Linked DNA regions of Lepisosteus oculatus. The protein of the gene in region 3 interacts with the protein of the main gene of each other region in a pairwise test. Links are inferred from orthologs where the notes say so. Each region holds a gene or a part of one and is shown on either strand. Other genes may lie near its edges.

Region 1 (7,370 bases), on a different chromosome or scaffold from region 3:
AAATGAGTAGCCTTATCATTCAAGGTTTCAGAACTGCTCAAGGCCAGACCCTTATCACAATATTCATTATAAAAGCAGGCAAGAGGAACCTTTCTGTTAAACCAGATGTGCATGCACAAGGGTCATGCTGCAAGATGATCCCCCATACACTAAAGCTCTTTAGGAACCCAGCCTACAATCTTAACGAGTCCAGCACGTCTGTGCATTTAAGGAAATTATTAATAAGGAACTACAACATCCTTCTGCCTTTTAATATTACATAACGAACCCATGGTGCAGACATTTAGAAGTCCATTCTGCCAAGCATGAGATGGCTTCAGCCTCACAATAAAAGGAGTATGGAACACAAAAGCACTGCAGAGTACTACTATATTTAAACACCAGTAAGGGATACCGGCACGTCCTTGATCAATTTCCCTCTCAACAGGCACGATCAGGAGGGAACTGCATTTTTTTTATCGTGTCGGACACAGATGAGAGACCCGGCAAATCTGATTTTTTCTCAGTTTCTTGTTACATGCAGCAGTAAAGTTCAGGAAAGCAGTCAAGAGTGTTACTTAATGGATCAGGAAAACTGAAGCAGGAAATAAGAAAAGAACCCAAGCATACTTATTGTAAATACTCAAAAATGTCATCTAGAAAAATCTCTTATATCCAAGAGACATAAAACAATTGATTATTTCTGCATTTATCAAACATGCACATCTTACAGCAAAAATATATTTGGTTTTAAAACTAAAAAGAGCAAAAATAACTTTATAAAAATCACACAACCTGCCAGTATTTAGAAGGATGATTGTCCTAACTCCAAAGTTACAAGACAATACTTACATACAGTATTTATATTGAAGCTTATATATTTCATTGGCTTAATTCTTAGAGGGGCTTGAGAAAGCTCAACTTGAAAAAGGAGCGATTATTTAAACACGACTGAGATTTTGGTCAAAGGTTAATGCCTTTCATAAAAGAAAAACCACTGTATCTTTTGCTCCATGATTGTGACAAATCATGTGAGTTAACACGGGACACTACTTCAAAGATTCCACATTATTCATGGAAGAAATCCAAGAGCCTAACAAATCTGCTCATAAAGAATGTTAATATTAGCTAGAATGAGACACAGCAACCAATGTGTTAAGTATATTTACTTAAATCTGTTTTCAGTTTTTAAACTTTAAAGAAACGTATGAAAGTTTCTCTTAAGTGTCAGTATTGTAAAAGTGCACGTTTAAGAAATGTGTACAGTATCGGTAATTTTTCAATACTTATTATTTATACAACAAAAGTCCAGCTAGACTTCCTAAACTTAATAATAAAATAATGTATAATAAAAATGTTTTGTACTTCACATATTGCCATGTCTAAAAAAGTATTAAAATTAGACATCTTAAAAAAAGCCTCAAAATCTAATTAAAAATTGAAGAAGGGAGCAGCTCACACAAGGAAATAAAAAAGTCCAACTTGTCTTTAAAAAAATAAAAGCTGATAAAAAAGCTGGCAGCTAAACGTTACATACTGTATAAAGCAGATTTCTTTTTTCCCCCGTGTCTTAGTTCACGATATAGTTAATGTTCAGATCGGTAAGGTGCGAATCTAGTGAATTATTATATACAAAGACAATTGTTGTGACTAGAGCTACACTAACACCCCTCCTGTACTGCAGGGGAAAGGACATGTACCAGTGGCCTTCAAGGACATCAGAGGTACCTCATGGTCAAGTCCGGCTATGTCTGTTTCCAGCCTCGGTGACATTTCAAACCCCAGCAAGCCCTTAGCCCCATTTCCATTACAATGACCCCCTCTTCATTTAATTACGTTTCAGAAATACATTTTCTATATATCAAATAGAAAGAGCACACAGTTTCACAAAACCTTGTGATGTGGACATATTTCCTTTGTATCTGCCCAGACAGCTAATAAATGTTGTTAACCTTAATATTGCACAAAACGAAAAGCAACACGATTCGCTAATCTTAATCTCAAAGACGAAAAAAGACGAGACAGAAGTCTCTTAAGGCCAAAAAAAGAACACGTGTTACACCAGGCCCAATTACAGCTGCTGCTTTCTGTATTGTCTTTACCCTACAAGAAACATTAAATAAGAAAACATATTTAAGATTATATTTAATATTTTACTGTACAGGGCGTTAAGCTTTTCTCCATTAAACGTCTCAAAGCGTCACTTCATTTACTGTAGGTCTGGAGAGTCAAGGTCAATCGATGTACTTCCTGCCATGTGCTACGGATACTTCATTTTTTTTTAGGCACCAATATTTACTGCAGCTTGAAAGAAAGTATGATGTACCCTCGTGAATTACTGGAGAATATATCATGTTCGTTATACCAGCTATTCTGTGCATTATCCACACAAATCCCAATTGTTTCAAAATTAAATCCTCTAGCTTCCTTTTTCCTGTATTTCAGCTGGACCCGCAGGTAACTGCTGTAGTATCTTATTTTTTGCCACAGTGACGTATACCGGGCATGTTCCTCACCGTGACATATTCACCGTCTCGTTTCAGACGGAACAAAAACCTCTTCACAAGATAAATCAGCAAAAATAATAACCCTTACAAGAAATATAATAGATCGCGCATCCAGGCACAGACTGAATGAGGACACCCGAACGCCCACTTTAAGCACACAGAAAAGAAAACCTTTTTGCTTCCAAGCTGTTATGCAGTGTGCAGAATGTCCTTCTGTCTTGCGTCGCAATCAAAGGATGCTATTAATAGGCACGAATTTAAGCGTATAACAATAATTACTGAAACTATGATTTAAACATTATCATAACCGTACGAGTTGAACCACGAGGGAGAAAAAAAAAAACAAAACCGTCTGGTTCCCGAAGATGAGCCAACATGATTTAGCCCCTTTTACATCTCCGTAGCTACCTCAAGTAACTTACCAAACGTTGAAACGTCTACTGTTCTCTACCTTGTCCCTCCCCTACCCCCCAGAATAAGACGTGCAGCTCTGCAGCTCTCACCGGCTTGACGGCAGTCCTGTCCCCTTTTATAATGAGCGCTGAGCAGCGGCCGAACGTCGCATACTGTACGTCACTTTACTTTTACGTTGGTGGGGGTGGCTGCTGTAGTTCGGGTTGTGGAGGTACCCGCGTCCTCTGGCTCGGGTTCAGCGGTTCTTTTTCCCCAAACTGTAGAATGACGGGATTAAAAAATATTAAATATGTTTATGTGAGGACCTCAGCGTGTTTGTGTGTGTGTGTGTGATTACAGGTTGGGGTCCGGATAATTACGGTTCTGTTTAAGCTACTTACTAAGCCATTGGCATAACAGTTCGCTGTTTGTTTCGAGAATTTTCGTTGTGGGTGGCAAAGCTCTTGTTTCCTAGTGACGAAAAGGTACAGTAACCTGAAATTAAAAATGCACACAAAACAAAAATACCCAAACTGTTCGGTTTATAATCGACGGCGTTCACAGAGGATATAACACGTGGGCTTTCATTTTCAAGTGAAGGCGGGGTGACCATTGCTGACCCAAATGATTTTGACGGATAAACCTGGAGTCTTTTCTGTGTAATTCTGCTTTTACTGCACGAATATGAATACAAACCTGATGTCCATATATGTGCAATACGAATCTGATCTTTTTAGCATTACTAAATCAACTGGTCCTAATATTAAAGTGGTTTTTATTGAGTGAAGAATAGAACAATGGTAAGAGTAATCAAATATTATTAAAAGTATTAACCAAAGAGCTTTTAAATTATTATGGAGACATGCTAGTGTTAATCTACTACTTTGAGTACACAGTCTCTATGATATGTATGATATCAGCTCAGAGCTAAAATAATAAAAGATTTAAACTGGCTACTTACAGTAATCAATGGTGAGTAATTCCTGCTGAAGAGTAAACGTGTTTTAAATCCCTGTAGTTCTATAACTTAAACCAGTAGTTACCAGTTTTACATTAGCATTAACTTGTGCATGCATTTTTTATTAATGTTTCCTCTTGGAAATCCTCAAATAGAAAATAACGGACTATTCTATAAACAGAGCTCATCTGGTAATTCCACATGTTTGTAATGGCATGATCTGCACAGTCCTTTGGGCTAATTCTACTGATTTTCCAGTTAACGTAAATATGGTATCTGAAGTTGAAAGCAGCAGAATATCAAATCAGCAACCTTTTTGATATTATCTGTTGACTTTGGTTTTTGACAGACAAGAGTTAGCAGTTTTGTCTTTCTTGAACCCTTAATGGACCTGTAATTACAGTAGGTTTCATACAAAAACAGACTGTCTTTTCTTCCCTGAATGCAAACTCAGTATTTTTTAATGTCATACAATATGTTATCCATTCCTACAACAGCTATACTGTGTCTCGTATAAAGCCAGAGAAAATGAACATGGAGGACATTTTATCTTCAAATGGGAGAAGAAATGCTTTGGCTTGAAATGGTATTTGCTCTCAGCTGCAAAAACAGCACCAGTCCAGGGGTTTGATCTTACATACTGTAGGAGTTGGCTGCAGGCTGTAGTCTCCTACAACATGTAAATATCCTGTACTATAAGTATAAGTAGTTTAAGAAAAGGTGGTAAAGCAAATGATAAAAATAATTATTAAAACTCTAATTGTTAAAAATATATGTTAATGGGACCTTTTTACATCTGTACCTATTCTTTGGCTTGAATTAATGACAAGATTTTGTTTTTCAGTGGATTTTATCAACTAACCTAGAGAAACAATGAATAATGTCCAATTTACAATTAGAAATCTGGGTCAATGTATTGCTGTAATCCGGTCATTTGTCTTAGGTTAAGGTTAAGGTGACATGTGATGTTCTCAGACCACCTTGTGGTACTGTAGTTTTCAGGATGATTGTTATGAAGAATTTGGGTTTTCTCCTGAATTTAAGGTTGATGGGTTGATGGGCTCTGCGTGTTCTAATTTTCCAATCAACACATTTTATTGACTCTTGGGTAATGTTTATTACTATTGTCGCTTTTACACATATAGTTGTGAGAAAAAGTTTGTGTGTTTTGGAATTAGCTAGATTTCTGCATGAACGGCTCCTAAAATGTGATCTGATCTTCATCTATGTCATAATAATAATAAAGACAGTCAAATACAGTACATTAAACAATTTTGAACAATGAAAATTATTGAACAATTGAACAGTATGAACAACACTTAAATGAAGAACACAAAAAACTAATTCAGTTCATCTTTACTTTTATACTATGCTATACTTTTCTGTCCTTTTCCCTTTTCTCTTTGAAAGATGGATATCACCCACACATGCAATAAAAGACAAAGGACAACAAGTAAAGTTTGGTTTTCCGCCAATAAGGAAGTTACTTAATGAGGGCATGGTTTGATAGCTTCAAGACTTATTTATATATATATAGCAAATTAAAAAATACAGTTTCTTTGTGGGAATTTTAGAGGAATGGAAAAATTTTAAAAACCCGAAAGGCTTATTCATTCAAAATTTAATTTAATGACTTACCACATTTCTGTAAATGAACAACAAAATCATCGATCCAGTTCTTTACTGTGTAAATAAGAAAGATAGTTGGTTTTGTTCTGATTTTAAAAGATTTTCTCTTAATGTATGTTACTTTATAAAGATATTTGCAGTTCTATGATTATGTTTAGTCTCATAGGAGATTTCATTAGTTTTATTCTGTCACAATCCTGTATTGCAATACTGTTCTGAATTTATCATGATCACCAGCAAGATCTTTATGTGTGTGGTAGGATTAATCCACCACCAAGGCATCTACCACACAGAGAGAAGGATTAATATTGAGGTTACAGATAGAAATCAATTCACAGAAAACAAGTGTGGTAAAGCGTTGTTAATTTGGAATTTTAATTTGATAATTTAAGAGATTTGTGAACCCCGAAAATATATTGTTTACACGGTAATTGCTTAAAGGAAACAGATCACCTAAGAGCACTAATCGTCTTAGTTTCTTCCCTTTATAAAAACGTTTTGAATGTAAACCAGCTAAGAGGTCTTTATTGACTACAGGATTTGAAGTGAACTGGTATAAGATGTGCGGTAGGGTAGCACAGTAGTTATCACCGCTGTCTTGCAGTGCTGGGGCCCTGGGTTTAATTCCAGACTGAAGCGCTATCTGTATGGAGACTATAAAGTATCTATCTATCTATAATCATTCCTTGTTTGCATGAGTTTCCTCCCACAGTTCAAAGACATGCTGGTAGGTTAATTGGCTTCTGGGCAAATTGGCCCTAGGGTGTGTGTGTGTGCCAATTAAACCAAAGCACAGGTGGTTTCCAAACATACCTATAAATGACATATTCCATGTCTTTAGAAGTTTATGTTAGTTGGACAATTATATGATACACTAGAAATGACATCTCTTCTTTCATGCCATTTGCATCTTCCCTTTTGTAAAATCAATTTTTACCAATTTTTTTACAAAAACAAAATACATTTCCAAACTTCTAACAGCCGTGTGAGTTTTTGAAAATATTATATTCAGAATCATATCTGATAATTATACAATTTTTGATTGTGCTAAGACTGTACTAAGACTGCAGCCAAGACTTTAAACAATGCCTCCTTTTATATGAAACCCCTCTGTAAAGTCTGATAACAGGAATTGCATGGAGGTTTTTTGTCAGTTTTGTCTTTTTTGTCAGAAAATCACAAGACTAAATTAGGTTTAACAAATAATTGTTAGAGTTATGGTGGTATTTCAGCCCAAATGTGTCAAGAATTCCTGCAATGGGTATTTCCAAGTTAAATTTCCATTGCAATTTACTAAAGTATTTCCTTTGTGATTTGCTAATATAATTTTATTTTTATATTTGTTTTTGCTTAACAATTTGTTGCTTACATAATGCTTCACATTTCAGTTTAAAGAAGATAATATTTAACTGTGGGGTTCTATTTACCACAACATTGATATTGCTTAATTTAACTTTATCCTGACCTTTAGAATTCAAATCAATGATTTGAGGGGAAAAATATTTACTTACATGAAACAAAATACTTTGGGCTCTTCAGTTAAACTCAGGCTTTTATGTTTTTTAATGAATAACTTGCATAGATTTTATTTGGTGTTGTAATAGCTATAACACTGAATAAAGGTGCTACACAGTCTTTATCAATTTATAATTTAATATGTTACAGCAGTGTTTAAGAGTATGAAGGTAACCAATGTCAATATGATAACCCACTGAAAGTGCATGTTTCCACCATCAGCAGAACACCTTACATTTTTACAGTGTCACAAACAGTTCTTTCCAGACCCTATGCAGACGACACAATCCGTCTGGATGGAGTGAGGAAACACTGGGGAAAAAGGTCATGGAGGAATACGGGGATGACAACAGGGGGGCGTGTCCAAAGTGCGCTGGTGCACGGGGGAG
Region 2 (8,011 bases), on a different chromosome or scaffold from region 3:
GAGCTACAGGCGCACGTACGCCGGCCCTGGGTCTCCGAGTCGCTTTCAGCTTCAGACTCCGATATTTCCCAGGTCTTCGCCCTCTTCAAAAGTAGGGACATGTTTTTAACCTCGGCATTTTTTTCTGAACTATGCTGCTTTCACGTTTAAAATGGCTATTAAAAGCTGCTAGACTAGCATTTCATACAGTCCTCGATATTTTTATTGTTCTTTTAGCAAATGTGTTTGTGCAAATATCTATTTTAAATTAGGTTTAAAAATACGCATTTGTTCCGAATCACGGGAGGCTGTTCAAATGCACTTTAAAGTTGTTATACACAGGTGTATATATAATCGTATGCCAGTATCGATGTCTCTTCAAATATAACTGAAGTAAACCACGATTCGTGTTGGTAAGTGCACACATACGGTACACCACTTAAACATTTAAACCATTTACAGCGTTTAAAATACTCATTAACCTAGACGATACCAGGATACTAGGGCTTGATCTCTGTGGTCTCAGTGCTGAAAACTGCGACTTCACCACAAATGACATTAAACACTTTTTTTTCTAAATATTGTGCTGAACTGCTGTTTTGAATACGAGACAAAGCCCTCCGATGTCTCCACCAATTCACATGATAGCGCTCCAGTCGGAACCATGTTACGAAATGTAAACGTTGACGGAAGAAATTGGGTGCTGGAACGGTCAAAGGAAGTTACGTTGTGGCTGAGGTTAACTGCAGAAAAAAAGGTTAGAGGTGTCTTTCATTGCTGAAAATTATATGCTGTTATTCTTAAACGTTAAAAAAATTATAATGAATACGGGTTATAGAATTTCGTATACCTTAACAAAAGCATTGTTTATTAAGTGCTTGTGAGAAGGGAGATGAGGGGTAGATGACGTTTTGAAAAATAACCCGAGAACATTCTTACACCACACTGCTTTTCCCACGTGTTTTTTGCATAAATGTATTCATATAACTGAATAGTGTCTGACAAAATGTAAAAAGGTCAAACGAAAAAAAAAACGAGTTAAACGTGATTTAGAAGTGACTTTGAACAGCCGGTTTGTGATCTCTCGTTTCCAATGCAGGTCTAACGAGCACTGAAAATCCCTCTGACTTGGAATTAGATCACACGTGTTTTCTGTTTAAATACCCCTTAATGCCAGGTCCAGACGTCGTGTTTGGCTTGTCCCACTCTTTTCATTAGAAGAGCACTTCAGTGTCGTGGCGAGTCTGTTGATGGCTTGGTCGGTGCTGTCACCGGTGCACAGCTAGCAACAACAACGCTCAGTAGGAGTCCAGAGTGCATTTTTTCTGAAATTGTGCCACTCTGGAATCAGTTGATGAGCTTCCACACATACAAGTAGCTATAATCCATGGGACAGGTACAGGAGATATATGAATTGGTTAAATCCATCAGGAAGTCATCCAGACATAATGAACTGGGCTTGGCTTTGAGTGCAGAATGGTTTTCTCAGACAGAAGCGAGTGCTGTTCGAATGCATTACTCCTTCTGAGTGCTACAGAAGGTCTGTTTAAACGATCCGAATGGGATCATGCATTTTTAGGTCATGTTTTCCACTGTTCCACAACACCCCGAGCCGCTCCACCGTAATGCTGGTGGGTTTTGTTTCAGGATGACACGGAAGAAACGCTTGAGGCCAATCGCCGAGATGGCCCGGAAGATCCGGGAGTACCGAGCGCTGAAGGAGAGGCCGCGGGACTCCCAGCGCTACGCCCTCGATTACAAGACCATGACGCGGCCTTACACGGGCAAGCAGCTGCCAGTGCTGGCCTGGGAGGACGTGCGGCGCGAGACCCGCCTCTTCTCCCTGCTGTCCGGCCTGAGGTTGTTCGGCATAGGGCGTCTGTTCACCCGGAAGTCCTGGCTGAGTGAGCACCAGGAGCCCTGCTACTGGCAGGTCACCAAGGTCAAGGTGGACTACACCGCTGAGGTCGGTAATGGGTGACAGACAGCGATCCCACCGCTGACACAAGTAGATTTTGTTTTGCGTAAATACCACGGAGTACAGTGTAGGCAGCGATAGAGCACTGATGTTTAATTTTACTGTTCAGGTGTTTAATGTAATGCTCCCAGGTCTAGTCCTCATGAGCTATGACGCCCTGGTTTTTAACGGTGTCCTGGCCAAATTTCCAATTGGCCCTTACTAATCATGGCCTCCTAATAATCCCCCTCTATGAATTGGCTACATTACTCTGCTCTCCTCCCCACTGATAGCTGATGTGTGGTGAGCGTTCTGGCGCACTATGGCTGCCGTCGCATCATCCGGGTGGATGCTGCACATTGGTGGTGGTGGAGGGGAGTCCCCATTACCTGTAAAGCGCTTTGAGTGGAGTGTCCAGAAAAGCGCTATATAAGTGTAAGCAATTATTATTATTATTATTATTATTATTAAGTCATCAGCAGCTTGTGACTTGGGGGAAATGTATGAACCAGGACAGATGATAGGCTTTTTAAAAACAAATATTGTACCAGAACTGCACGGGAGAACCTAAGATTGAAAGAAATAGATAGATAAGATAGAAAATTAGAGAATGCAACCAGGCCCCGTTATTGAGCATGAAAAGAACTCTGTAAATTCGTATTGCAAACAAATAATTGCATTTGGCGAGGGCATCTCAGAAAGATGGTTTCGCTTCAGTTAACTTCAGTCAGCAAAGGCTGTGCATCCTGAAGAACGTTCGTAACTTGGGAGTCATCGGGGGTCTCACTGGTCCTGTAACTTCTGTCCCATCAAAGAGCTATTATTAACTAATATAATAAACAGAACATATTATTTAATAGGATGTATAATATTTCTCTCCTTTTCAAACAACACAGAATATGGACCATGGAAAGGCATGGGGCATTCTGACCTTTAAAGGTAAGTTTACTTCTTCTGTGGTTCTTTTTTTACCTGCAGTGATTTCTACTCATAACCTGTCCATGCCTTGGTTAGAATAGAGGTACAGGTAGCTTATTAAGCGCAATGCGTGTGCAAAGGGGATATTTGACAAGTTGCCGACAAGACTCTTCGAAATCAGGCACCTCATTTTATCTGTTTGGTAGAGTTAATCCTGAGGTCAGTGGTGACCTGGTTTTTGCACTTGAATAAGTAATTTTGTTTTAGTCAGGATGGAGTGAGAGATCAATTCTGATTCTTGATGGCTACAGTATTTCCAGGTTTTCGTCACAAAATTGATCTAACAAATTTCAAGTTTAAGAGGCATAGCTGGCATGCTTAGAAATGGATTCTTAAGAGCAAGAGCTGTAAAACAGAACTTTTACCTTCCAGAGCTGAATGCGATGTGAGAGGAATATCGCAACATCAGGAAGCCTCACTTGTGCCCTGTGGAGGTGGTGGGCAGTGATACTGCATTCTGCTTCGTTTTACATTCAGAGTGTGCGTTCTGTTATTTTCCTCTGTAGGGAAGACGGAGGAGAAAGTGAAAGAGATAGACAAAGTGATGTACCACGACTGGCGTCTGGTGCCCAAACACGAGGAAGAGGAGTTTAAGCGCTTCACGCCCGCGCCGGACCCCCGCGAGCGATACGTGCTGTACCCACCTCTCCTGCGGGCCATGATCATGGCGCAGAGAGAGAAGGAGGGCCGGCCGACGGGCGAGGAGCCCCTCATCGACCTGCACAGGAAAGTCCACTTCACCAAGGATTACTTCAGACAGCTGGAGAGTCAGCAGCGCCAGGAGGGAACCCCCGTGTGACGCCTCTGGCCTCTGGCCTCTGACCTCTGACCTCTGACCTCTGCAGGGGTGGAGAAGTGACTGAACGGCATTCACGGTTAAATGCACACGGGGGAACCCCGCTGAGCAGAGGCCGTTGTGTTCAGTTAACCATCCACACTGCACTGCAATGCATTGATTAAAGAGCACGTTGCACTGGGTTTAACCCCTGCTGGTCCCTTTGCAGATCATACCCTGATGCAGCTCCCTGCTGTAACCTCTCAAGTATGGATGTGCATTCAAAGTCCTCCTCTTTTTTTCACTTGTGTTGTTTCTCTGTTCCCACACACGGCTCTGCCATGCCAATTGGTGCAAAGTCTGCAAAAAGTTGAGATGAGTCTCTCTGCCCTCTTTCCTCTCTTACTATGTGCAGTACCTGTACAGCGTCTTAGCTGTTACTTGTTGACAATGACTGTTTTCCTAGGTTTCTTAACATCTGAGCACTACAGCACTGTACCTTGGTTCACTCAGTGGAGCTCTCAGTTTCCAGTAGGAGTAAATGTTCTATAAACTATCTCATTCGAAGAAGAGGGCATATGTACATGTGGTTTGTAATATCATTACTGCCACTGTAAACCTCACTGCAATTGTTTTGTGATTAAATTTGTGTGGATTGTGTCTGTGTGATGTGTTTTGTGACAGACTTAAGCAGAGCGGCAGTTGATTATAAAAAACAGCGGAAATAAAACATTCGTCTAAAGCGGTTTTGTTTTTTACCTTAGATAGTGGGTGTTAAACCTTCAATTACTGACAGTTTGCTGTCACACTGTGACAGCTTCACTTCCTCTAAATAAACATTTCAAATGGGGAATCATTTCAGTTCAATCTTAGTTCTCATTTTGATCATTTCATACTGGCTTTCCTTATCGAGAACACATACAGTAAGTAAATATGCACAAATCTTTTTGCCTAATACAATTTGAATGTTCCCTAAGTGGGAAAAAAATGCACTTTACAAATCGTTATTCCTCGATGAATTTTGTTAATGGTTGTAAATAGTGACAATTCTGGTATTTAGAAATATTTAACATGCTTAGTGGTAGTAATTATTATTATATTGCAAACCATATCTTAAGGCAACAGGAGGATGATATTTATTAATTAGCATGAGTTACAAAGTCCAGGGCATTTTCAAGCTCTAGAAAGTCTTACTTTGGGGAAATCAAAGGGCATAATGTAAACATATTTCTTTAAATATTTTACAGTGTAGCTATATGCAGTCTACGCCCTTAACAGAAACTCTGACGTCGACGACGTGCTCGCCTCTTCACCAGCATTTCCTCGTGCTCGCGTGATTGAGCCCGGAGGTTTAGGGAACGCGCTCGGGCACCCGCGGCGCTCTCACTGTCTGGTGTGGCCGGTGTGTGAGTTTTTTTGGGAGGACGCCTGTGGTTTCTGATGCAATAATGATTTGTCTCGTTTTAACCATATTTGCAAACATCTTTCAGACCGGTAAGCACAATTTTAGTGTCACGATAAGTGATTTTCGTTGAGTGTTAGTTTTTAAATTTGGTGGTGGGAATGACGTTATCCTTCCGGATTCGAACAGTCCCAAGTTCATCCTTTTCGAAATACGCTATAGGGATAGTGGCTGCACGCAGGTACAGTATTTTCCAGTTTTCTGACGTTTTATAACGGTCTGAGCTATCTAATAATCCTATCGAAAACTCGTCTGAGCAGATTGCGCTTAAATGTGCACTCCTGGAGCATGCATATAGCTATCCTTTGTGTAGGCTTTTTTAGCGTTGTAAACCCAAGTGTCATATCGGCATTGCAAATGAAGTAAAACTGGTTATCTGGGTAGGCAGCCTTTGAAACCAGTCATGTGCATTTCAAGCATTTCATGTAACATAACCGCGTCTATAATGAACAGTGGAAAATAGCGCGTACATTCAGGACAATAGAGGCCTAGACAAATGCGGTGTACACGCCTTTGTGCATTTTAATGCTAGCTGATGCAAACGTTTGGCAACAGATGTGCGTTTTTTTTTTGTTGCTTTCCAATGCTTCACACTTGTGACCTCTGGCCCTTCAAGCAGAAATGAAGTTTCTGCTTGTGCTACTTGCTGATGTTCTGCTCAGCTGTAGTGTTCTCCGATAAGCCTTTATGGCACCTGCATTCTGTTATCACCTTTAAGCACACATGAAACAAAATCCCCAAACATTTGCTGCTCTACATATACAGTACGTCTGAACTGTTGTGCCAATAAGTAAAGGTTTGTAGGAGTGGATCTGAGAATCCCGAGAGGTGAATCCTGCGGGTTGGATCCTCTATCCCGAGGACAGCAGACAGCACGCCAACCCAAAGCCCGGAGATGAGTTCTGCACAGTTTCTCGCCTCCAGAACAGGGCTAGTCTGAATCCCAGTCCAGCGCTGGGTGCCGGCAGGGTCTCGGAGGCCCGCGAGCTGCCTGCGTGTGCGGCGGCTGACCTGTGTTATCTCTGCAGCCTGGGCGGGCATTAACGAGCGCACCTTCGTCGCCGTGAAGCCCGACGGGGTGCAGCGCCGCCTGGTGGGCGAGATCACCCGCCGGTTTGAGCAGAAGGGCTTCCGGCTGGTGGGGCTGAAGCTGGTGCAGGTAAGACTGCCCTCCCGCCTGTCACCCGGGCGGCGCTGTGCACACCCTCCACCGCTGAAGGAGCCGTGTGTCTGCCGCTCTCACCGCGACCCGCCTCTGAGTGAGCTCAATCAGCTCGTGATGGGCTTGACTGGACCCATTCAACCACTTCTGCTTTGAAGGAAACCCAGAAAAACCTCTCAAGCAGGACTGGGCCGCCGGGCATGTGATCCCTGATCTTGGTACTTCATGATTGCAACTGCCATGGGGATTTCAGATTGGACGCATGGGTAGAAGGAGCACCAGAGGAGGCTTAACAGGGAGTGGGAGTGAGGGTCACGGACTCGGGCAGGCCAACACAAGTATACACAGCTACTGGGGTCTCTCGAGTAGCAGGGGTGTGCATTCAAGTGCATCACGTCGCTAGCCGAACGGGACTGTGATTCTCCGGGCAGTCACACCTTAAAGGCAGGGTGACAATATTCAGCCTAGGCTCTCGGCTCATGGCACCCCCTGTGGCCTCCTGTGGCCTCCTATTGCGCTTGCAGACAGGTCTGTGAGGGACGCACCTTTCCTCCAATCAGCGCTGACCCTCCAGCTTATCGGTGACATGTTAAAAGACGATTGATTGGCTGGAAGGTGGGCGAGTCGGAGGAGTGTGCCTCCCACTCCCTCATCCTCCCCCGTGTGCAGCCGCAGGGTCTGTATCTGTGAGCTGAGACGTGAACACCACCCACTGAACTATCGGGGGTCGGTACCTGCAATTTTGGACACTTTAAAAAAAAACAAAATCTCAGATTTATCATATGTGTTTTGCATGGCCTATGCTTATGAGAGGGAGTAAATGGAATTTATGAGGCACTTTTGTCCTCGAATCCCATCGCCCCCCTGCTGTTGTGGGTGGTGGGGGGATGTTGTTTCACCCATGCAGATGGAGGGGCTAATGTGTCTCCGCTCTGTCCCAACACAGGCCTCAGAGAGCCTGCTGAAGGAGCACTACAGGGACCTGAGGGAGAAGCCGTTCTTCAGGGGGCTGATCCGCTACATGAGCTCCGGACCTGTCGTCGCCATGGTGAGCGGGATTCACAGAACGCAAGCATTCCCGTGATTGGTATTCCTTTTCCGTAGTCTTCTAGTCATTTGGTTTGTTGTTGATTTCCACCATTTTTCATTGGACTGTTAAGAAGAACGAGTGGTCAAGGAAGCCGAAAGGGCCCCTATTTACCTGCTCTGCTTGATTGCTTTCTGAGCAGCCGTAAAATTTCACTACTTAATAGTGGCGAAAGTAGGGGGAGTTGAAGGAATCATTGCAAAGCGTCAGAAGGATGTCCAGCATTCTTGCGCTGTTGTTTAAAGGGGTAGCAGGTCTTGAATCGCTGAAATGATTTTCCGGGAAAGATGCCGGTGGTGGTCTGTGGGCCGCGGGGGGGCTCTCCTGCCTCCGAGTCTGTCTGATTCCTCCCTGTGTCTGTGTGGAGGTGTGGCAGGGGCTGGACGTGGTGAAGACGGCTCGCAAAATGCTGGGCGAGACCAACCCTGCGGACTCCCTCCCTGGCACCATCAGAGGGGACTACTGCGTGGAAGTGGGCAGGTACGACTGAGGAGGGCTCGGGGACTTCCTGGCCTGCCCAGCCTGCCGCCTTCCTTCAGTCAGAACCACTGCGCTACTCTAATGTAGCCGGCTCCATGTTTGCTGCTTTGTTCCTGCTAATTATCAGTCGA
Region 3 (7,178 bases):
CCACGTCGAACTCCGACAGCTTCTTGTCGGCCTCGGTACTGGCCTCCCGCACCTCCTTGTTGGAGGACACATGCTGGGGGAAGTCAAGCACGTTCCTCTGCACTGAAAAAGAAACAGGTTACACGTTCAATCCTTAGGACACCACCTTCAGGCTAATTGGACAAATAAAGACTTCATGCATAATAAACCACAAAGGAACAAGTAAAGGTTTATTTGAAAAGAGAAGATAGGAAACACGTTTTGGCTGTGGAGTGTTTCGTTTCCTGTCTTCTCTTTTCAGCAGGAATAACCTAACAAAAAAGGGGAATGTCAGCACTCGGACAAAGGAGATTCTCCCCCCCCCCCCCCAACAACAGATTTACGCCAGGCCTCCAAACAATCAAAACCTCAGAAAAAAATGTATATACTTCCCAGTTCCTTTAACAATACCTATATACAATTTGTTGTCAAACACAGGCAAAGTGTCAGCTACTCTTTATGTAGAAAATGCTGAGCACTCTATACCATTGCCTGCTGCATTCCTGCCAGCTCAGGCCTTTAACAAAGGCTCTGTAGTGGCCTGTGTGTTAAGTGATGTTGCTGTGGGCTTATCTGGACTTATCTGCTTATGCAAACGAGCGTTTTTATTTTAGTCAAGTAAAGTCGCTAAAGAAATCTGCAAACAGATTTTAGAAATCTGATGCCATTTATCCCTTTTACTGACATTTATGACTTCAGTGCTTGTAATTACTGCATGTCATGACAGCATACATTTAATACACTTTAAAACAGTCATGGGCAGGAAACTAACCTACTTCAGCAAGACGTAGTTGGTTTTTCTCAGCACTTGTAAGAGTGAAGGTATTTTTAAGGAATTTTATACCAAATGGCATGAGATTTGTTTACTCCTTTTAGGTTGTTCAGATCCTAGGTCATCATCTGTTCCTTCTGTTTAGATTCACGTGAGGAACCTTCAAGAGTTAACAACACCAGCTTACAATTCCCTTTCCAAATCCCTTATCCGGATATCCTGGTATCTGGACCTGGAGTGAGCACACAGCTTTAGAGACACACGGATTTTCATTTTTAAAGACCAATTAGTGGCCTAACTGAATCCGTTATTGGCTCAGGGAGGCATGATTCCAACTGTTTCTCGAAACCGGCCGAAGCGTGGCTCTCCAGGACCGAAGAGGTGAGCTCACGTTCTGATCGGAAAACCAGCCCACGTGTCCGTGTGCCGCCACGAGCGGAAACGCAGCAGGACGCGTCCTTACCTGTGTACTCCACCTCCACGTCGGCCAGCGCTTTCAGGGCGTTGTCGTAGGTGACGGCCTCCAGCTCCAGAGCCCCCACGGCGTCGTACACGCGCTTGGTCCTCTCGATCAGCTCGTCGGCCAGCTGCCGGATCTGCTCGGGGCTCAGGTCCCAGCGCAGGCGGTTCTCGGCGCAGACCCGCGGGGCGCTGGCGATCACGACCTCACCTGCCGAGGGGGCGGGGGATGGGTCAGGCCCTGCACCGCGCTGGCTAACGCCGGGTCAGGACAACGTCAGGGCAGCAGGACGCTTGCGGACAGGGGCACTGGGGGGGGTTACAGTGTTTCCCCTTCTTGCCTACCAGCTGTGACAAAACAATTCGCTCCGGCTAGGCGGAGCAGAGCAGTGTACCGGCGTGGTCCTCGCTTCAAGAAGTATTTCAGACTCCTGACTGTCATGGTTGTTTCTTGGGCTCGGATACGTCCGAACATGTGCTCGATGATAAACTCTTGCTCCCCCACTCTTCTGCAGCCAAATAGACAGTGCACCAGTAATCATCCCGTGTCTTTTGATAACCTGCTGATGTGTTTTATTTGTACAGTAAAATGCTGAAACCTGCACAACTGTACCTTTGTCTGATGGACTCCGGGTTTATTATGGGGGCATGGTGTGTCACCTTTGATATGACCTTTGACCTGTTCCAACAGAACAGTTACAAACTCCAACTGCAGCTGCTTAGAATGATGAGTACTGTTCACAGCACTAGCGTGTGTGTGGCTACTGCAGGGCAAGAAAACCACTTCTGGATGGGCTAAATGGGCAAAGGCTGTGGCCCCCAATGACAAAAATCGCACGAGACAAAATTTAAAAGCACACAACACAACTCCTTTTTATGCAGAAAAAAATATTAAAACTTTCAGGAAATTCTGGAAAACAAAACAATTAAAGCTGTGGCACTGAAATTGTACAGGGTGACATGCAGTGGCTCATGTCTGCGATGTGCTCCTGATCCATGATGCTTACCAGAAATGAAGAAGTGTGACGTGGGTAATGTAGCCAATCAATCCTCACCAAACCAAACAGCCCTGAAGTTGTGTGAGATGCTGAAGTCTACAGGTTGGCTAACAACCCGTCATCTCTTTTGTGAGACAACGTTAAAACACGATTGCTAAATGTTTTGTTCACAAGCTCAGGCTACTGGAGAACCATATTTAACCATCAACAGTAGCTTAAATTAAACTTTTCTTAGTGCCAGGAGAGGTTTACAGAGGGCACTCCAAAAGCCCAATGATAACCACCCACAGCACATGTCCCTTTGTGTGACCGGAGAGGAATATGCTGACTGACTGACACCCAGAGAAATTCCTTTCAAAACAAAGAACATGCCTGAACTCTCTTAGAGGGACATTATACAGGTGGTGTTTTTAACTGTTCAAAATAACACTTATTAATTATTATCTGTTTTTGCAATTATGGAAAATGTTTAATAGTTTCAAACACTACATAAGCAAACGGAGTTTCAGATCTACTGAATGTCAGTTTTTCGAGTAACTCCTTTCTGGATATAATTTTGTTATACTGTACTGTAGTGCAGGTGGCTACAGAAAAAGACGTGACTGATGCAATTGAATATATGGGTCCCTTTTTTGCAAGACAATCTGTGTAGAGCTTCTTCGTAGCTTAGGTTAGGAGTGTCACCTAAATCACCACTCTTAAATCACGTCCACCTGACACTGACAGATACACTGACACAGTGACATCCGCGAAAAGATTACTCGAGCCGACGATTAGGGGGGCAAGCGAGTTTCATCCACGACCACGGACTGAAGTTTTGGGAAATTCTTCTTTCAAAACAAATCCACCTCGAAAAGAAGGAAATCTACCAACTACTCGAACCTATAGCTTGCCTCCTCAAGTTGACTCCCGTGTTACTCCTGTAATCAAATACCTAAACGCGATTCCCACTTATCTGCTCGGGAGAGCGGGGAGCTGGGACTGCCCGCAGTGAAACTCGTGTAAACAGACTGTGTCTGGGAGGGGTGCCCTCAAGTTCACGACTGCACTTTGCGAGAGCAAATGATTGAGCACGTTATCCCAGCTAGACACACGCCGCCTTTGCCGGACTTTTCAGTGGAAAATATTGAAGTTATTTGAAGAAAAACTGCACTCCATAAAAAAAAATACATTTTAACGTTTTAATTACGTAACCCCCCGTAAAGTAACATAGTACGGTCCGATTTCTGAGCAGCACCCAGTATACAAAAAGCAATTCATCTTGCAAATGAGAGGAGCTCATCAAAGAAATTTAAACTGTGGGTACTTATGGGGACGTAGGTTGACAAAAAAAAAGGTTTAATAACTCACCTGTCGGGGCCATAGTACACAAGGATGAAGTAAATTCGCCCTGCAAATACTCTGCTGAAGAGCTCCGGGTCAGAATGGTGTCTGCTCACACTGAACCACGCTACTACCGGGCTGAGCAGCAGAAACTCGGTGGTTGGCTGGCCATCCTGTCAATCACTCGTTCCCCTGGAAACCGGCGGTCGCTTCCGCTTCGGGGGGCGTTGTTTTATTAACGGTACTTCCGTCCCAGACTCCTGACTGTCCCGTCTGTTGAATTAATTTCACAACAGTGCGGCGGGTCGCCCTGAGCCTCGGTTGCAGGTTACGGCAAACAAAAATAACAGCACACGTCAGCGGCGACTCTGAATGGTCGACCCCGATGGCCTCTGTTTCGCGATTCCACGGCAAAGGCACTTTAACTGTTGTGGGACAAGGTGAAAAAAAATACCCAGCGAAATCAATAAAGAAACTAAAACATAATTAAAAACTAGCAATTATTTAATACAGTCACACACCCGCGCCACATGCTTTCTGTTTTTTGTTTTGCCGAAAACATCTATTTGTTCGAATATAATCGTTCTGGGGGGGGGGGGGGTGTAGGCACGTCCGACGCGTGACGTCAGAGGACGCAGACGGCCGTCACGCAGCGCAGCGCGAGGAAACTGCGGAGAGCCGGAACCGGGAGGTGAGACCCAACTTTTCTTGCTGCCGTTTTCATTAAAACCCGCACGGTAAACGCCGTTGCCCCGAGCGGGGCAGCCCCCCCCTCCCTCCGGCAGACAGCGATCGCAGGGGCTCTGGGGGCACCTTGCAGAAAGGGGGTTGGTAGCGGCGGCGTCATCAGCGAAGCGGCCAGTTTTGCTGTACGCTGCGTTGTCCCAGATTTACGGTAAGGCCGCACGGAGGAGCGGCGGCAGTGCTGGAATCTTCTGTTTGACAAAACTCACAGCCGGCCGAGGTTTGGTCAGACAGGTGGGAAGGACGGCGTCTCTGGTTCGGCTAGATCATCAGACCGCCCGGTCGGATTCACTCGGCACAAGCGCGTAGTCTCCTCTGATCGCTCGCTCGGCGCCGGGCAGAACTCTTTCATCGATTAAAAAAAAGTACGGATTTAAAGAACTGGGCAGACTGACAACTGCGGTCGCCGGGGACTTGTTGAGAATTTGTCTGTTCTGTAGTTTTACGAGACAGTTTTCGTACAGCAGTAGTCTCATATGATGCACAGGTTCGGGGACACAGATCTGCAGAATTGGGAGTCAAGAGCGGCCTTACTGAGTGTACTCAGTGTAGGTTTGGGTCAGTATTCAGTGTTTGAAGTTGCTTCACAGGGTGCGGTTACGATTAATCAATAGTAAAGTTAATTATGCCATTTTCAAGTGCAGTGTATTATAATCCAGCCACAGGCTGTCTGTGTGTACTAGGTACGTGAAAGCTTGGGACGACCTATTAGATCAGCTCAGCGCGTACACGTTCACCTACCGTGACATAACACGTGAGTCACCTTTTTCCGGAACATGCCAGATCCGAAAAGCAAAAGTAGGTTGCTGGTATGAAGGTCCCCAAATAAAACACGTTACTTCGTGTATTGCTACGTCCAGTGCAAGCTATTGATAAAAAGAAATTCATTTTCGCCAGCAGTGTGAATAGTCTGCCATTTTATTTCATACGCATATTAGGAGGATTTACATAAGGAATGTTAGTGCGAGCTGCCGTGCTTTGCTGCTGACGATCCACAGCTGCTCCGTCGTGGTCTTCATTTCTAGACGCGAGAGCAGGCCTGTTCTTGAAGGGTGGGGGGGTCACTCTGAGCCACAGTTCTGGTCTCCTGAACCTGGCCCGGGCTGGTTTGCTCCTTGTTTACTCATGCTCCCATTCATCTGCGAGGAACTGTGCTGTTTCTGGAGGAGTTAATTGGATAATATCAACTCCAGAATAAGCGGTCGCGCACAAAATGTGCATAGCACGGTATGCGTCAATAGACAAAAAAAAATTGTAATGCAAATGATAAAGTTGGTGTGTGGTAACGCCAAGTCAATGCCCTGTTTATTTTAAAGGCTCTTTGTTTTTGTACAATTTGCAGCACGGCTGGCTTGCACATAGGCACCAAGCATCTGCAGCATACTCCTCCTGCTGGTCGTTATTTTTAACCTGATAACTGATGACCTGTCCCCACTGAATATCACTTTCTACACTGGATCGGGTGCTTTAAGTGAGAGTGGGGAGGCTTCCCATTTAATCAAATAGTGTAATGCAGAAGTTAATGGATTCAGTTTCTCCAGAAGAATGTGGGGTTGTAATACCTTATTGCAAGTTTAGGAATCACCTTAGAGTCCAACAGCAGTAGCTAAATGAAGAGCAGTAGTAATCTTTATATTTAGACTTGCTTCTTTTTGTGTGCGTATTTATCAAATGGTGCCACAACCATAATGACTGAGACACCTGTTAATTGGAAAGAGTGGAGCAGTGGAGTTGATTGAGCTCACAGGGCTATTGGCACATGAAAGACAGATCTGTAAGAGAACTGAGAGAGCAAGACTTCTCCATTTATCACAGGGGTAACCTCCTGAGCTGTGCAGGTGTCCTTGATACAGCTGGGTCAGTTGATGCTCTCTGGGTTATCTGCCTTCCTAAAAACACTCATTGGGGACTTGAAGCCCTATTCTTCTCAAACGTTTAAACATGACCGTTCCTTTCCAGAATCTCCAGAAACCTTACCTACTGCCCCAGCCTACCCCCTCAGCTACCAAATGGCAGACACAAAGCGTATCGCATTCTCCATCATTCAGTTTCTCCATGACCAGCTCAACTCGGGGGACTTATCTTCAGATGCACAGGAAAGCCTGGAAGGTAAGACGACAATTTCATAAACCGGTACTGACATTCAGTTTTCATTTTAGGCTGTAGCAGAATTTTAGTGACCTTTGCTTACAGCAGCACATTCCCAGTGGAAATGGCAATAAGTGCAATAATTACTTTGCAATAAGTAGACATCAATAGCCAGCACTGTTTTCAGCATTACAGGACAGTGCCCTCCTCTGTGCTGAATCTGCTTTCACTGGGAGCCTTTTGCTCCTGGGCTCTTGTGAGTGCTGGTGGAGACGAGGCTGTCACAGACAGGTGTTTTCAGTTCTGGTTACAGTGTGAGAAGGTGCCACTTGGGGGTGGCACATGATTGGCCATGCCAAGAGAAGCTGGGACAGGGTCACACGTGACAGGTGTCATCTCCACTTTGGATTGTAACTCGTCCTGCTGTACAGACTACCCTAGTCCAGGAGAGCCCCGGTCCAGCCAGACTTACAAACTGTCTCTGGCGTTTGGAAACAGTACCTGTAAATTATTAATGACTTAAGCTAGTGATTGCTTCAATTTAAAATACTCTGGCCCTCGGGGCTGGAGGACACTCACATTTCATCCCAAATGATTGTTAAATAATTTGACAAATAGCCTACTTAACTGATTGCCATTTAATTGTTCATACTCTTTTGAAATTGGTGGTTTAAGATTGAGCTGTAAAATGTACTGGTTTGAGGCTCTCCAGGAGCAGGATTGCAATTGATCGCCTGCAATTGAGTTTTACGTAAAATACAGCTGCACTCTTTTTC

What was found. The genes of interacting proteins can lie anywhere in the genome.
Region 1: the proteins of sgta (region 3) and tfr1b interact in binary tests that used the Homo sapiens proteins (3 or more experiments, as listed by UniProt). The two-hybrid records come from large-scale screens. The link is inferred for Lepisosteus oculatus from reciprocal best matches to the Homo sapiens genes SGTA and TFRC.
Region 2: the proteins of sgta (region 3) and nme3 interact in binary tests that used the Homo sapiens proteins (3 or more experiments, as listed by UniProt). The two-hybrid records come from large-scale screens. The link is inferred for Lepisosteus oculatus from reciprocal best matches to the Homo sapiens genes SGTA and NME3.

Annotation. Positions count from the first base shown.
Region 1 is NC_090708.1:13,443,625-13,450,994, reverse strand, and holds the start of tfr1b (transferrin receptor 1b), read right to left. Parts: upstream 3,009-7,370; 5' UTR 2,990-3,008; exon of another isoform or gene 2,909-2,989; intron 1-2,908. UniProt on the Homo sapiens protein: Cellular uptake of iron occurs via receptor-mediated endocytosis of ligand-occupied transferrin receptor into specialized endosomes. Endosomal acidification leads to iron release.
Region 2 is NC_090714.1:4,080,007-4,088,017, forward strand, and holds the start of nme3 (nucleoside diphosphate kinase 3), read left to right. Parts: upstream 1-5,003; 5' UTR 5,004-5,137; coding exon 5,138-5,183; intron 5,184-5,219; exon of another isoform or gene 5,220-5,332; intron 5,333-6,179; coding exon 6,180-6,310; intron 6,311-7,259; coding exon 7,260-7,361; intron 7,362-7,767; coding exon 7,768-7,880; intron 7,881-8,011. Other genes in the region: probable crossover junction endonuclease EME2, read right to left, coding at 1-101; mrps34 (small ribosomal subunit protein mS34), read left to right, coding at 1,628-1,945, 2,833-2,875, 3,421-3,713. UniProt on the Homo sapiens protein: Catalyzes the phosphorylation of ribonucleosides and deoxyribonucleoside diphosphates, other than ATP, into the corresponding triphosphates with ATP as the major phosphate donor.
Region 3 is NC_090724.1:1,363,265-1,370,442, reverse strand, and holds the start of sgta (small glutamine-rich tetratricopeptide repeat-containing protein alpha), read left to right. Parts: upstream 1-4,176; 5' UTR 4,177-4,261; intron 4,262-4,285; exon of another isoform or gene 4,286-4,465; intron 4,466-4,525; exon of another isoform or gene 4,526-4,679; intron 4,680-6,273; 5' UTR 6,274-6,323; coding exon 6,324-6,423; intron 6,424-7,178. Other genes in the region: thop1 (thimet oligopeptidase), read right to left, coding at 1-102, 1,254-1,460, 3,598-3,610. UniProt on the Homo sapiens protein: Co-chaperone that binds misfolded and hydrophobic patches-containing client proteins in the cytosol. Mediates their targeting to the endoplasmic reticulum but also regulates their sorting to the proteasome when targeting fails.